Linked DNA regions of Canis lupus familiaris. The main gene of each other region encodes a partner of the protein of the gene in region 2 in a complex. Links are inferred from orthologs where the notes say so. Each region holds a gene or a part of one and is shown on either strand. Other genes may lie near its edges. The genes, in order: FRAT1, GSK3B and AXIN1.

Evidence for each region.
Region 1: the proteins of GSK3B (region 2) and FRAT1 are in contact, whole or in part, in a crystal structure (PDB 5OY4), measured with the Homo sapiens proteins. The link is inferred for Canis lupus familiaris from reciprocal best matches to the Homo sapiens genes GSK3B and FRAT1. Residues at the interface, in NP_001139628.1 of Homo sapiens: Tyr216, Ile228, Phe229, Ser261, Gly262, Val263, Asp264, Leu266, Val267, Ile270, Lys271, Thr275, Pro276, Ile281, Tyr288, Thr289, Glu290, Phe291, Lys292, Phe293, Pro294, Ile296; in NP_005470.2 of Homo sapiens: His200, Leu202, Leu203, Leu206, Val207, Ser209, Gly210, Asn211, Leu212, Ile213, Lys214, Glu215, Ala216, Val217, Arg219, Leu220, His221.
Region 3: the proteins of GSK3B (region 2) and AXIN1 are in contact, whole or in part, in a crystal structure (PDB 4B7T), measured with the Homo sapiens proteins. The link is inferred for Canis lupus familiaris from reciprocal best matches to the Homo sapiens genes GSK3B and AXIN1. Residues at the interface, in NP_001139628.1 of Homo sapiens: Ile228, Phe229, Val263, Asp264, Leu266, Val267, Ile270, Lys271, Asn287, Tyr288, Phe291, Lys292, Phe293, Pro294, Gln295, Ile296; in NP_003493.1 of Homo sapiens: Glu384, Pro385, Gln386, Phe388, Ala389, Glu391, Leu392, Ile393, Arg395, Leu396, Glu397, Val399, Gln400.

The regions. Positions count from the first base shown.
Region 1 is NC_049249.1:10,818,488-10,821,912, forward strand, and holds FRAT1 (proto-oncogene FRAT1), read left to right. Parts: upstream 1-1,427; 5' UTR 1,428-1,470; coding exon 1,471-2,316; 3' UTR 2,317-2,852; downstream 2,853-3,425. UniProt on the Homo sapiens protein: Positively regulates the Wnt signaling pathway by stabilizing beta-catenin through the association with GSK-3. May play a role in tumor progression and collaborate with PIM1 and MYC in lymphomagenesis.
Region 2 is NC_049254.1:24,302,907-24,307,273, reverse strand, and holds the start of GSK3B (glycogen synthase kinase-3 beta), read left to right. Parts: upstream 1-1,488; 5' UTR 1,489-1,645; coding exon 1,646-1,733; intron 1,734-4,367. UniProt on the Homo sapiens protein: Constitutively active protein kinase that acts as a negative regulator in the hormonal control of glucose homeostasis, Wnt signaling and regulation of transcription factors and microtubules, by phosphorylating and inactivating glycogen synthase (GYS1 or GYS2), EIF2B, CTNNB1/beta-catenin, APC, AXIN1, DPYSL2/CRMP2, JUN, NFATC1/NFATC, MAPT/TAU and MACF1.
Region 3 is NC_049227.1:40,628,566-40,632,161, forward strand, and holds part of AXIN1 (axin-1), read left to right. Parts: exon of another isoform or gene 1-312; intron 313-2,980; 5' UTR 2,981-3,063; coding exon 3,064-3,596. UniProt on the Homo sapiens protein: Component of the beta-catenin destruction complex required for regulating CTNNB1 levels through phosphorylation and ubiquitination, and modulating Wnt-signaling.

The DNA.
Region 1 (3,425 bases), on a different chromosome or scaffold from region 2:
ATTTTAAGAGAACATTCAATAATTTTCAGTAAATTTACTAAGTTATTCAATCATCACCATAATCCGGTTTTGAATATTTTTCTTAGCCTGCTAATATATCTCCCCTGGTTGGCTCTTAAAGACTGGGCCACCAAAAGTCCATCTACAAGTGTAGAGTTTGAAAGTGAGGTCTGATTGGAGATTTTTAAAGAAGGTTTTATTTATTCATTCATGAGACACACAGAGACATAGGCAGAGGGAGAAGCAAGCAGGCTCCCTGAAGGGAGCAAGATGTGGGACTCCATCTGGGAACTCCGGGATCACACCCTGAGCTGAAGGGAGACGCTCAACCACCGAGCCACTCAGGCGTCACTGATTTGGGATTTCTGAATAAGTCTAATACCTCCAGGCAACAAGACAGTAAGGGATCATTTTTCCATCCCTCTTCCTTTAAAAAAAAAAAAAAAAAAAGTCTTGGTTAATCATTAAGCCAACCATGATATCTTGAAGAGTTAAACGGATCCATATCTCCATTACCATCCAAACAACTCGTTTTCCTCTCCTGCTTCCCCTTCAGAGAAGACACTCCCCAGCTGCTGAGGCATTCTTAAAAGAACTTTCTAGCTCAGCTCACACCCCGCCCAAGACCAACGACCTCCTCCTCTCCAGGAAGGCCAGCCCTAGTCCAGGCCCGCATATACCCATGCTCCGGGTCAAGAAGCATTCATCGGGCCTTTCCCTGCCAATTCTAACGCTGCCACCGCTTCCCCACGCCCCGACCCCATCCAACTACGAGGTCCCGGTCTTCCTTTCCGTCCCTGTCAGCCTTGTTTCCCTAATCTCCGGACCGATCCCTAGCCTCAGATCTCCGCCCGCGCCTCGCTCGCCGGGGCAGCCCTTCCCAGACGCTGGCACCCGGACCTCCAAAGTGCAAATGCCAAAACCAGACGAGTTGACGCGCCTAGAGGAGGAGAGTGTGTGGGTGTAAGTGTCTGTGCTGGTGTGTGGAAGAAACCAACCGCGTCCACGCGGGTGTTCATTTTCGGGAAATGCCAACCACGCCCGGCTGACAGAGCGACGATCCGCACCCCCGCGCCCCCCTGCACGCAGCACTCGGGGTGGGGCAGCTCGGAAGCTGCTGGGCTTCACCCTGCGCCCCGGCCGGGAGGGCGCCCCGCCCCCAGCCGTACCCCGCCCCCCCGGCCCGGCGCGGTGGTAGGGCCCGGCCGCGACGTCACCCATTGTTTACAAATCAACCCGAGCCGGTAGGATTCCGGCTCCCGCTGCTGCAGGCGCGCGGCGCGAGTGCCTGGCGGGCTCCGGCTTCCGCGTCCGCCCCGGCCCGGCCCGGCCCGGCCCCGGCCCCGGCCTCGCCCCCGCGTCGGCCCCCGCCCCGCGCCCCGCGCCCCGCGCCCCGCGGCCCTCCGAGCCCCGCCGGCCGCCGAGCCGCCAGCGCCGGCCGCACAGCGCCGGGTGCCCGGGCGGGGGGCCATGCCGTGCCGGAGGGAGGAGGAAGAGGAAGCCGGCGAGGAAGCGGAGGGGGAGGCGGAGGAGGAGGAGGAGGACAGCTTCCTCCTGCTGGAGCAGTCGGTGACGCTGGGCGGCTCGGGCGAGGTGGACCTGCTGGTGGCCCAGATCGGCGAGACGCTGCAGCTGGACGCGGCGCAGGACAGCCCGGCCTCCCCGTGCGCGCCCCCGGGGCCGCCGCCGCAGCCCCCGCGGCCCCCGGCGGCCGTGCGGGCGGACAAGGCCCGGCCCCCCGCGCTGCCGCTGCTTCTGCCGCCCGCGCCGGCCGAGGCGGTGGGCCCGGCGCCCCCGGGGGCCCTGCGCTGCGCCCTCGGGGACCGCGGCCGCGTGCGGGGTCGGGCTGCGCCCTACTTCGTGGCCGAGCTCGCCGCGGGCCCCAGCGCGTTGTCGCCGCTGGCCCCTCAGCCCGGCCTTGACGGGCCCTCGGGAGCGGACAAGCGGGCCGCCCCGCAGCCGCTGTCGGGCCCGTGCCGGCGGGGGTGGCTGCGGGGCGCCGCCGCCTCCCGCCGCCTCCAGCAGCGACGCGGGCCCCAGCCCGAATCCCGCACCGGCGACGACGACCCGCACCGGCTCCTGCAGCAGCTGGTGCTCTCGGGGAACCTCATCAAGGAGGCGGTGCGGAGGCTTCATTCGCGACGGCTGCAGATACACGCAAAGCTTCCCCAGCGCCCGCTCTCCGGGCCGCTGTCGGCCCCGGTGCATGAGCCCCCGTCTCCCCGCAGCCCTCGGGCGGCCTGCAGCTTCTCCGGCGCGTCCGGGAGGAGGGCGCAGCCCCGAACTGGCGACGGCGTTCCTGTCCCTGGCAGCTAACGCCCCGGGAGTGGCCACAGCGCCAGCCTCTGCCTGGAGGGCAGGGGAGCCCCCAGAGGGCTACATCCCTACTCGGACGGACTGGTGAACTCGCGTTTTGGAAGCGGGAAAATAAGCTAATGCAGACGAGGAATGGAAAAACCGCGAATGTTTTCGCGGGGAACTAATGGAGGGCCCCCGATGCGTTTGAGAAACAGAAGAACTTGGGTGCCCTGTTTGAGGCAGATTACCGAGCGCACCCCAAGCTCACATCCAGTGGTACTCCCCGTTCGGCGTGGCCAGCCCCCGCGGTGCAGCGAGCAGATCCACGCAGCCGAGCCAGTGGGACCCTCCAGCCCAGCGGCCATGTGGCCACGTTCCACGCGTCTCTGGATCGCGCGCGCCCAAAGGACGAGGGTGACCCCAGTTACTGGCTTTACCTTTTCAGGGCTGGTTCCTGATCCACTTTGGGGGAGGGGAACATGAGTCAGACCATCATTTCAGGGAGAACCTCAAACTGCCAGACTTGAAAAATTTACGACTCTTTAAAAAACCCATCTTGTGTCTTGTGGGTGCTGGTTCTTAACGCAAAACACGCGGTGCCATCAAAGGACCTTTTTTGGGAGTTGAATGGGAGTAAGGTTCGCGCTGCCCCCGCTGTGCGACGGGGGGCGGGGGCGGCTGCGCGCCGGCGAGGGGAGGCGGGGGCGGCGGTGCCGCGGCGCGGGGAGGTGGGAGTCGGCGAAGTCTTCCTCTCTGGGAGATTTTCCCTGCGTCCCCCTCCTCGGGTTCAAGGTCAGGGTTCCCCCAGCGCCCGCGGGGGTGCGGGGCTCCCGTAGAGCGGAAGAGTTGCCGGGTTCCGCCTGTGCCCGGGAGAAGCGCCCGGTGCTGTGCAAGTGCTGGAGTCTCCTAAGGACGCGCGCCCCGCGGCCGCCGCCGCTGCGGGCCGAGGGGGACGTGCCGGGCCGGTGCCCACCGCGGCCCGCCGCGCCCCGGGCTTTCAGAAAGTGCCCCGAGCCTCAGCCTGGGTCGGGCCGCCCCCGCCCCCGCCCCCACCTCCCCGCCTCGGCTCGGCTCGGCTCGGCGGTCCCACTCCAAGCGGGTGGCGCTGGCGCTCCTTGGGGCCCGGG
Region 2 (4,367 bases):
ACGTCCTGACTGGCCAGACTGTCGTCGGAAGCCCCCGTCGCCTCGCCAATCCCCGAAGCAGGTACACTCCCAGCGGAGTTTTCGGCCAATTACGAAGGCGGCCGGGGCGCCCAGCCGCGCCGTTTCACCAGTGACTCCGGGTTTCGCCGTCCTTAACTCCTCCAGCCTTTCGGTGAGGGCCGGCGGCTGTGATTGGCCGCCGCTGCCATTGTCGGATTCCCCCGCTGGCCAGCCGCGGGACGAGCCCCGACCTTCTTCTCGCTCGGCGGTCTTCGGCACTTTCCGCTCTTTGGGCGTGGACTTCCGGCGACACTTTGTAATTGGTTCCTCGGGCCGATCGGCTTTTTCCGGGAGGAGCCGCAGGCAGCCGACGTCCGTGATTGGCTGTGCCTCCGGCCTCGGTTCCGTCGCCGAAGCGGGCGGGCGCGGACCTCGGCCGGCGATTCCCAGACGCCTGTTACGCGGGTGGCGGGGCGCTGGGCGGTGGAAGGCTGGGTGGGGGAGGAAGGAGGCGGAGGACGAGTAGGAGGGGGGAGGGGGAGTGGGGAAGAGCTAGGCGGCTGCGCAGACGGCGCTCCTCACACAGAGCAGCCCCCGACCCGGGCGAATGCAGGCTTGTGCTGCCGCCGCCGCCGCCGCCGCCGCCGCCGCCGTCGCCCGGGCCGAGTGACAAAGGAAGGAAGGAAGGAAGCGAGGAGGAGCCGGCCCCACAGCCGCTGACAGGGCTCCGGGCTGGGGGCAAAGCGCGGACACTTCCTGAGCGGGCACCGAGCAGAGGCGAGGGGCGGGAGGGCGGCCGCGCTGGTGCCGCGGACGGGGGAGGGGGCCCCCGGGGACGGAAGCGGTTGCCGGGTTCCCATGTCCCCGGCGTATGGGGAGCAGTCGAGGATCCGCCGCCTGGGGTCTGAAGGGAGCTGCCTCCGCCGCCGCCGCCGCCATGGCCGCTGGATCCAGCCGCCGCCTGCAGCTGCTCCTGGCGCAATGAGACGAGGAGCCGCCGCCACCGCCCGCCTCTGACTGACTCGCGACTCCGCCGCCCTCCAGCTCGCCGGGCCCCCGCCGCCAGCCCGCCGGATCCCGCCGCCGCCGGAGCCGCAGCGTTTCCCGTCGCATCACCGAGCCACCCCCTCCCTCTCCCTCCCTCCTTCCCATCCCCCCTTCTTTTCAAGCGTGAGACTCGTGATCCTTCCGCCGCTTCCCTTCTTCATTGACTCGGAAAAAAAATCCCCGAGGAAAATATAATATTCAAAGTACTTCTTTTCAATCAAGTATTTGCCCCCGTTTCACGTGATATTTTTTTTAAGACCCCCCCCCCCTTCTTCCTCCCTTCCAAGGAAACGGAGGGGAAAGAATTGTATTTTTTTTCCCCCCAGCCCCAAATCATCTATATGTTAAATATCCAAACTGGTCTGTCTTGAAGGAGAAATACATCACTCGTTTTTTTTTTTTGTTTTTTTTTTTTGTTTTTTTAATTATACAAAAGGAGCGAAAAGCCAAGAGGACGAAGTCTTTTTTTTTTTTTTTTTTAATCTTCTCGTGGGAGAACTTAATGCTGCATTTATCGTTAACCTAACACCCCAACATAAAACAAAAGGAAGAAAAGGAGGAAGGAAGGAAAAGAGGGTGATTCGGGAAGAGAGTGATCATGTCAGGGCGGCCCAGAACCACCTCCTTTGCGGAGAGCTGCAAGCCAGTGCAGCAGCCTTCAGCTTTTGGCAGCATGAAAGTTAGCAGTGAGTATTGATTTTATTTTACGCCCCTTCTCCACCTCACCCTTAAAATAAGAAACCTTTAGTAACCAGGATCTTAAAACATTAGACCTCCTGATACTAATAATCAGAGGTATTGAAAAGGGCAAAAACCTGTCTTAAGTCCAGGGTTAGGCAGCTCCCTCTTTTTCTCCTCCCGCACCACCTCCCACCCCCCCCCCCCCCCCGGTCTCATTAACCTTGAATTGAGAGAATATGCTTTTTATTTGCACGATTTGATTTGGAACTTGTTTCTTACACTTTTTGTGCGGTTAGTCGTCCGCCTTATCAAGTGTGCTTGACTGTTTCTATGTTAAAACGGCGATGAAAGTAAATAGTTGCTCATCCCTTCGGAAAAAAAAGGGGGGGGGGAAGGACAAGACGATTCAAATTATTATGTACATTTGCCGAGTACGTGTCTTTTAGAAGGAGGGTTATTTCAGCTCAGGCCTCGGGGATTATCGTAGTTTCGTGTACTTGCTAGAAGGACTGTAAGTGTCACAGTCTCCTAACATTTGTTTGTTGCCTGTGTGACTACAAAGTATTTGTTCTTAATCCGGAGATGAACTTGCTCAGTAACTCGTATTCACGTTTGGAGGAGAGCCTCGAGTTCTCCCTTTAGAAAGGGGTCGGTGGGAGCTGATAGAGACCCAGTAGCAGTTGTATTGCTACAGGCATTGTTTTAATTGGATACACGATTTAATGTTATCTCTTAACCTCCTCGTTTTGACATTACCAATTTACCACTATATAATTTATGTTTAATCAAAAGGTAACTTGGAAGTAGGGCCAAGTTTTGATTGAGGTTTGTCTTGTCAGGTTGCCAAATACTAAGTTGAATGTTAATTGTCACTGACTCATCATTAAGTTCAGTTTTGGGGTGCCATTTGCATTCAGCACTTGTTCAATGATCTGGAGTTCAAGGGCCCCCTTCTAAGGACTATTTACCATAGTATTTAAAATACTCTTGCATTGGTTTCCTGCCGCAGTTAGAGAAAACTATGGATTTAGTTATAACAATCTGGATTTAGACCTTTCTGTCACAGGTTTTGCAGAAAGCTGTAGTCCGGGACATAATAAGGTATTTGAGCTTGTGTTCAGGGTTGTTGCTAGACTGTACTTTGTCCCAGATTTGTGCTAATAGTCTGTGTTCTTGAGGTGTTTGGTATACTAAGTATCTAGTGTTCCAAAGTATCTCTATTTGTAGATATGTTTATGTGGTATTTAGCGACAGCTTATTTAAACCGCACTTCCAGAATTTGACAAAAATATCTACATTGTTTCCTTATTCCTCTAGAAGGGGGCACAGTGAGGGCAAAGAAACTATTTTGCTGCCTAGGATAAGGAAAGAACTGAGATTTTTAAAAAAAATATGTAAATACTGTTATGTGAAATTGATTATATCCTTAAGCAATATAAACTTATCACTTTTAATTGAGCTCAGGATTTCAATTCATGTTGCCTTTTGGACATGCCTGAAACAGGGTGGTCTAAGGTAGTAGCTGAATAGCAGGTCATTTTTTAAAGTTACTTATTTTTGTGATTAGTACAGAATGCAGGATATGTGAAGAAAGGGGCTGATGATGCATTTTTCAGAGAAGAGTCAAGCTTTCTAAGCACTTCATGGGGTCATTTGAAAGGAATATTTTAAAATTCTGGGGTAATTTTCAGCTATGATGAGGCAAATCTTATAATAGCTACTTAAGAGCCTCTTGTGGTACTGGAGTGTTTGTATGTTTTTCATCTTGGTAATATAGTTTAAAAACCACTTGAAATCAATTTTAGGTAATTATTTTATTAGATCAATTTCAGAGAGCAAAACAGAATGGCTTATAATGTTAATTTTTGGACTTTTCATTTTGTTTCCAAGATTTCCTTTGAAAATGACTCCTTAATTCTTGGTAATGTGGATGTTGACTGAGGATGGAGTAACTCTTGTAAAGTGCATAGGTTAAAGGTGTTTAATTTTCTATTCTCATATGGGTCAACATTTAAAAATTGGAGTTCAATGCTAATTCTGTGTTTTTGACAATCTTAACTGTAAGGATTTTTTTTTTTTTTGGTAAGGACATTTTAGAAGAAAGAAGTATCCTTAAACATTTGTTACAGTGCTACTGTTTTATAAAGGACCCTTGTTCAAAACAGAGATATGTAGAGAAATTAATGGCCCCAATGGCTTATCATTTAGTCGTAGAAGCAGTATGGTACAAAATATGAAAACAATAGCATGATGACTGCAAGATTATAAATACAAATAGAATGCTTTGTTCAGAGGGATGAAGAATACAGGGGTGAGGCCTTCGGGTTGGAGAGGAAAGAAAGACTTGCTGCTGCGATGTGTTTTAAGACAGGTGTTAAAGGAGGCAATCACTTGAATTCATAGAGAAGCATAAAGGATTCTAGATGGAAGGAATGGACAGAGGCACGGAGATGGTGATTTTTCTATGGCAAGTAGATAATTTTTGTACTTACCAAGCAAATTGGTAAATTTGAATTAAAGGGGCCTAAATAGGAAAATAAGAGATAGGATATGGGAAATGTGTTAACCATAGCTGATGGAGAGCAGAGGGGGCCTCTAAGAGTTTGGATGCAGTTCAAGAGACATTGGGATTTATTGTA
Region 3 (3,596 bases), on a different chromosome or scaffold from region 2:
GAGCCCCAGTTCCCGGAGGGCCTCCCCGCGCAGGTCTGGGGTGGTTTATGAGGAGCCCCTGCCGCGCATCCCTGCCCCTCCGTTTTGCCCCCGTGCTCACCCTGCTTCTGCACGGAAGCTCTCCGGACACTTGCTTCGAGGCCCTTCTTTGGAGAACACACATGGTCTGAACCTGGACTCGGGTGCTAGCCCTGAGTTTCAGTTTTGAGAACCTGACATTCAGGCAGGAGAATGGACAGGCGCGCAGAGAACGGCGTTGCTGTGGGATTTTCAGGAGGTGTGGACGCTTCTTGAGTTTCTAGAGTCAGAAAAGTAAGTGGAGTCCTTTGGGCTACATTGGTCCTTGAAAATTTAGGAGGTGGAGGAGCAGATCACCTTGTGGAACAGCGGCCCTAAGCTTTTCAGGGTTTAGGTACCGGACAGGACAGCGTCGCAGTCATGCTCTATTGCTTCCAGGCTCCTATAAATCAAAAGTTATGAAGTTAGGTTTTAGTGGGATGAACATGTGTCTATACGTGTAGCATGGAGCTGGCTGCTGTGGCTCCACGGGGGTATGGCTCAGCAGTGACTACAGGAGATTTTAAATGCCCTATCAGCCTTGTAGAGCATTCGTCGGAGCCGTGGAGGACTTTTATGGAATCCTTTTATTGATGGTGGTTCCAGGCTGTTGGCCAGATTCAAGGCTTGTGGGCATTTGCCTCTGACCTGAATTAACGTAACTGCTTTATGTGTGGTATGCACGTGCGTACACCAAAACGCTGGGTGTGCTTCTGCTGTGGGAACCTAGGGACGGCGGGAATCAGAGCGTGTTTCCATAATGTCAGTAACTTGGAGAGGTGTCTTTGTGCTTCTGGGGCCACCGAGGATCGTCTGTCAGTTGACAGCCGAAAACAGATGTGAGTTATAAGAGCTATTTCTCGCGGGCAATGAAAAATAGTTTAAAATGATCAGGGCGGTGTGGGGGGGAGCCTTGTTCACACGTGAATTAAAATGTTAGCTTTTAAAGATAGCCAGCTTTGTGAATAAAGGGGTAGATGTTGAGTTTTGTTGCTGTTTTTGTCCTGCTGTAGTTCAGCATCTATGGAGGGCTAACGTTTGGCATCTATGACAATTGTCGTATGTGTTCGTGCCAGTGAATAAGTGTGCTAGGTGTTGTGGGTCCTGCAGAAAACGTTTAATCAGGCTGCTACCAGTAACTTACACGGGAGATAGTTGCGTCTCCAGAGCAGGCGACGGTGACTTGTAATTAAGCTCCCGTTGAATTGCAGTGACTCGGTTCTTTCTCAGGACTGGCGAACTGGAATGTGTCTGAGGGTAGGGCTCAGGGCGCTGGGCGCGGGCCCTCCTTCCTAAGAAGGCGTCCTGAACAGGACGACATCAGGTGTCCATGAGCCAGTGTGGAGCTGAGACACCACAGGTGCCCATTCACGTTGACAGGGCTCAAAGAGAGGGACTTTGCCGTCGTCGGAGTCGTCCGTGACAGCGGGGTGCCCGGCCCGTGGGCCTTGACCTTAAGAAGCAGGCTGTTCCTGCTGAGATTACATACTGCCCGGTAGTTTTCACGAGAAGTCATTAGCTGTAGAAATGTCACCTGGGGCACGTTATTGTGACCCGTTCTCTGTCTCTGGGGGCTTTTCGCTTCTAGCCATCAGCATCTGCTGGCACACGCAGTGCGTGCAGTGTGAGGATGCAGCTGTGGGGGCGGATCGCCTGGTGGCCAGGGGTGGGGAGCGGTGGGCGGGGAGGGCTGCCCTTGGTGTTGGTACTAGATTTAAGGTGTTTATTTTTCTTCCTCTGGCTTATTCAGTGCTCTGGGTGCTTGGAGCTGACACGCTTCTCTCCAGCCCATTTCTAGCCAGACCACCTTGAGGAGTGCGGGCCGCCAGGTGGGGCGGTACAGCCCAGCTCGTGGGCAAGCTCCTGTGGGGCATGTCAGGGAGGACCGGAGACCGTGAAAGAGTCCCGACCCGGGAGAGCCTTCCTTCACACCTGAGGGGGGCTTGTCGCAGCAGCCACGCAACCTGTAGTCCCCAACCCCCGAGAGGATGTGTAGTTGGGATTTGAGCTTATGGAGGTGAATCACGCGAGCTGTGTGCTCGCTTAGTTAAAAGCTGTGATTGCATTTGGACTTCATTTTCTTTTTCCGGGTCTCCTCCGTTCTTCAGAATACTAAATTGCTATTTGCTATCAGGAGGGCGCTTTCCTTATAGGCGAGGTCAGAGGCAGCTTTGTGGTGGAAGCATGTTTTAATATTGTCCACACTGTGATGTGGGATGGCCACCATGTGTGTGGGGAGTCCTTGGGTGACCCACCACTGTTCGTACAGGTGTGTGTTGAGAGCTCAAGGAACACGTCCTTGCGTGTTTGCACACGTTAGGAAGCATATGAGGCGTGCAGCGACGGGGTAGGCAGAAAGCACAGTGGCCGTGGGCCCACAGGTGTGGGGAGCAGATGACTATCTGCCGTGTGCTGTGCGGCGAGCCTGCCTTTCCGTACCTGAGTATCACGGTGATCCCGCATCGCAGGTAGGGCGGTCATCCTCATCTTACGTGTGAGGAACCGGCTCTCGTCCCAGTTTTTGCAGCCCGGAACACTAGAAAGCACATCTCTTTTCTCCGGGCCTGTTGGCTTCCCAGAGCTTGCAGGGAAGGGCTTGTTGTGGCTGAGATGGGAGGTCCCCAGGCTGCTTGTGTCCGTGATGTTCTGGCAGAAAGACACCTGAGGGGAGTGGCACTCTGTGTCCCTGTTCTAGGCGTTCATTTTTGAGATCCAGAGACGTACCTGTGGTTGTAAAAGTTCTCACAAATTGTTTTAATATAGCATAAACCTTGTGACGAAAGACTGAAAATTTAAACTGAATTTCTGGCTTTGAGTTCGAGTGGGAGGGCATCATTACGAGTCTTGTCTTGAGAAAACCTCTGTGGTCATGTTTCCATGGACCCACCTTTCCTAATCCTTGTCCTCTTAATGGTTTCAACAGGACAGATTGATTCACTTTGGAGCTATAAGTACTGATGTATTAGGGTGCAGCGCTCATTGTTCATTGACGCACAGAGTCCCAAAATGAATATCCAAGAGCAGGGTTTCCCTTTGGACCTCGGAGCAAGTTTCACCGAAGATGCCCCACGCCCCCCAGTGCCTGGTGAGGAGGGTGAACTGGTGTCCACAGACCCCAGGCCCGTCAGCCACAGCTTCTGCTCCGGGAAAGGTGCCGGGGTCAAAGGTGAGACTTCAGCAGCCACTCCGAGGCGCTCCGACCTGGACCTGGGGTACGAGCCTGAGGGCAGCGCCTCCCCCACCCCGCCATACTTGAAGTGGGCCGAGTCGCTGCACTCCCTGCTGGACGATCAGGATGGGATAAACCTGTTTAGGACTTTCCTGAAGCAGGAGGACTGTGCTGACCTGCTGGACTTCTGGTTTGCCTGCAGCGGCTTCAGGAAGCTGGAGCCCTGTGACTCGAACGAGGAGAAGAGGCTGAAGCTGGCCAAGGCCATCTACCGCAAGTACATCCTCGATAACAACGGCATCGTGTCCCGCCAGACCAAGCCGGCCACCAAGAGCTTCATAAAGGACTGCATCGTCAAGCAGCTCATCGA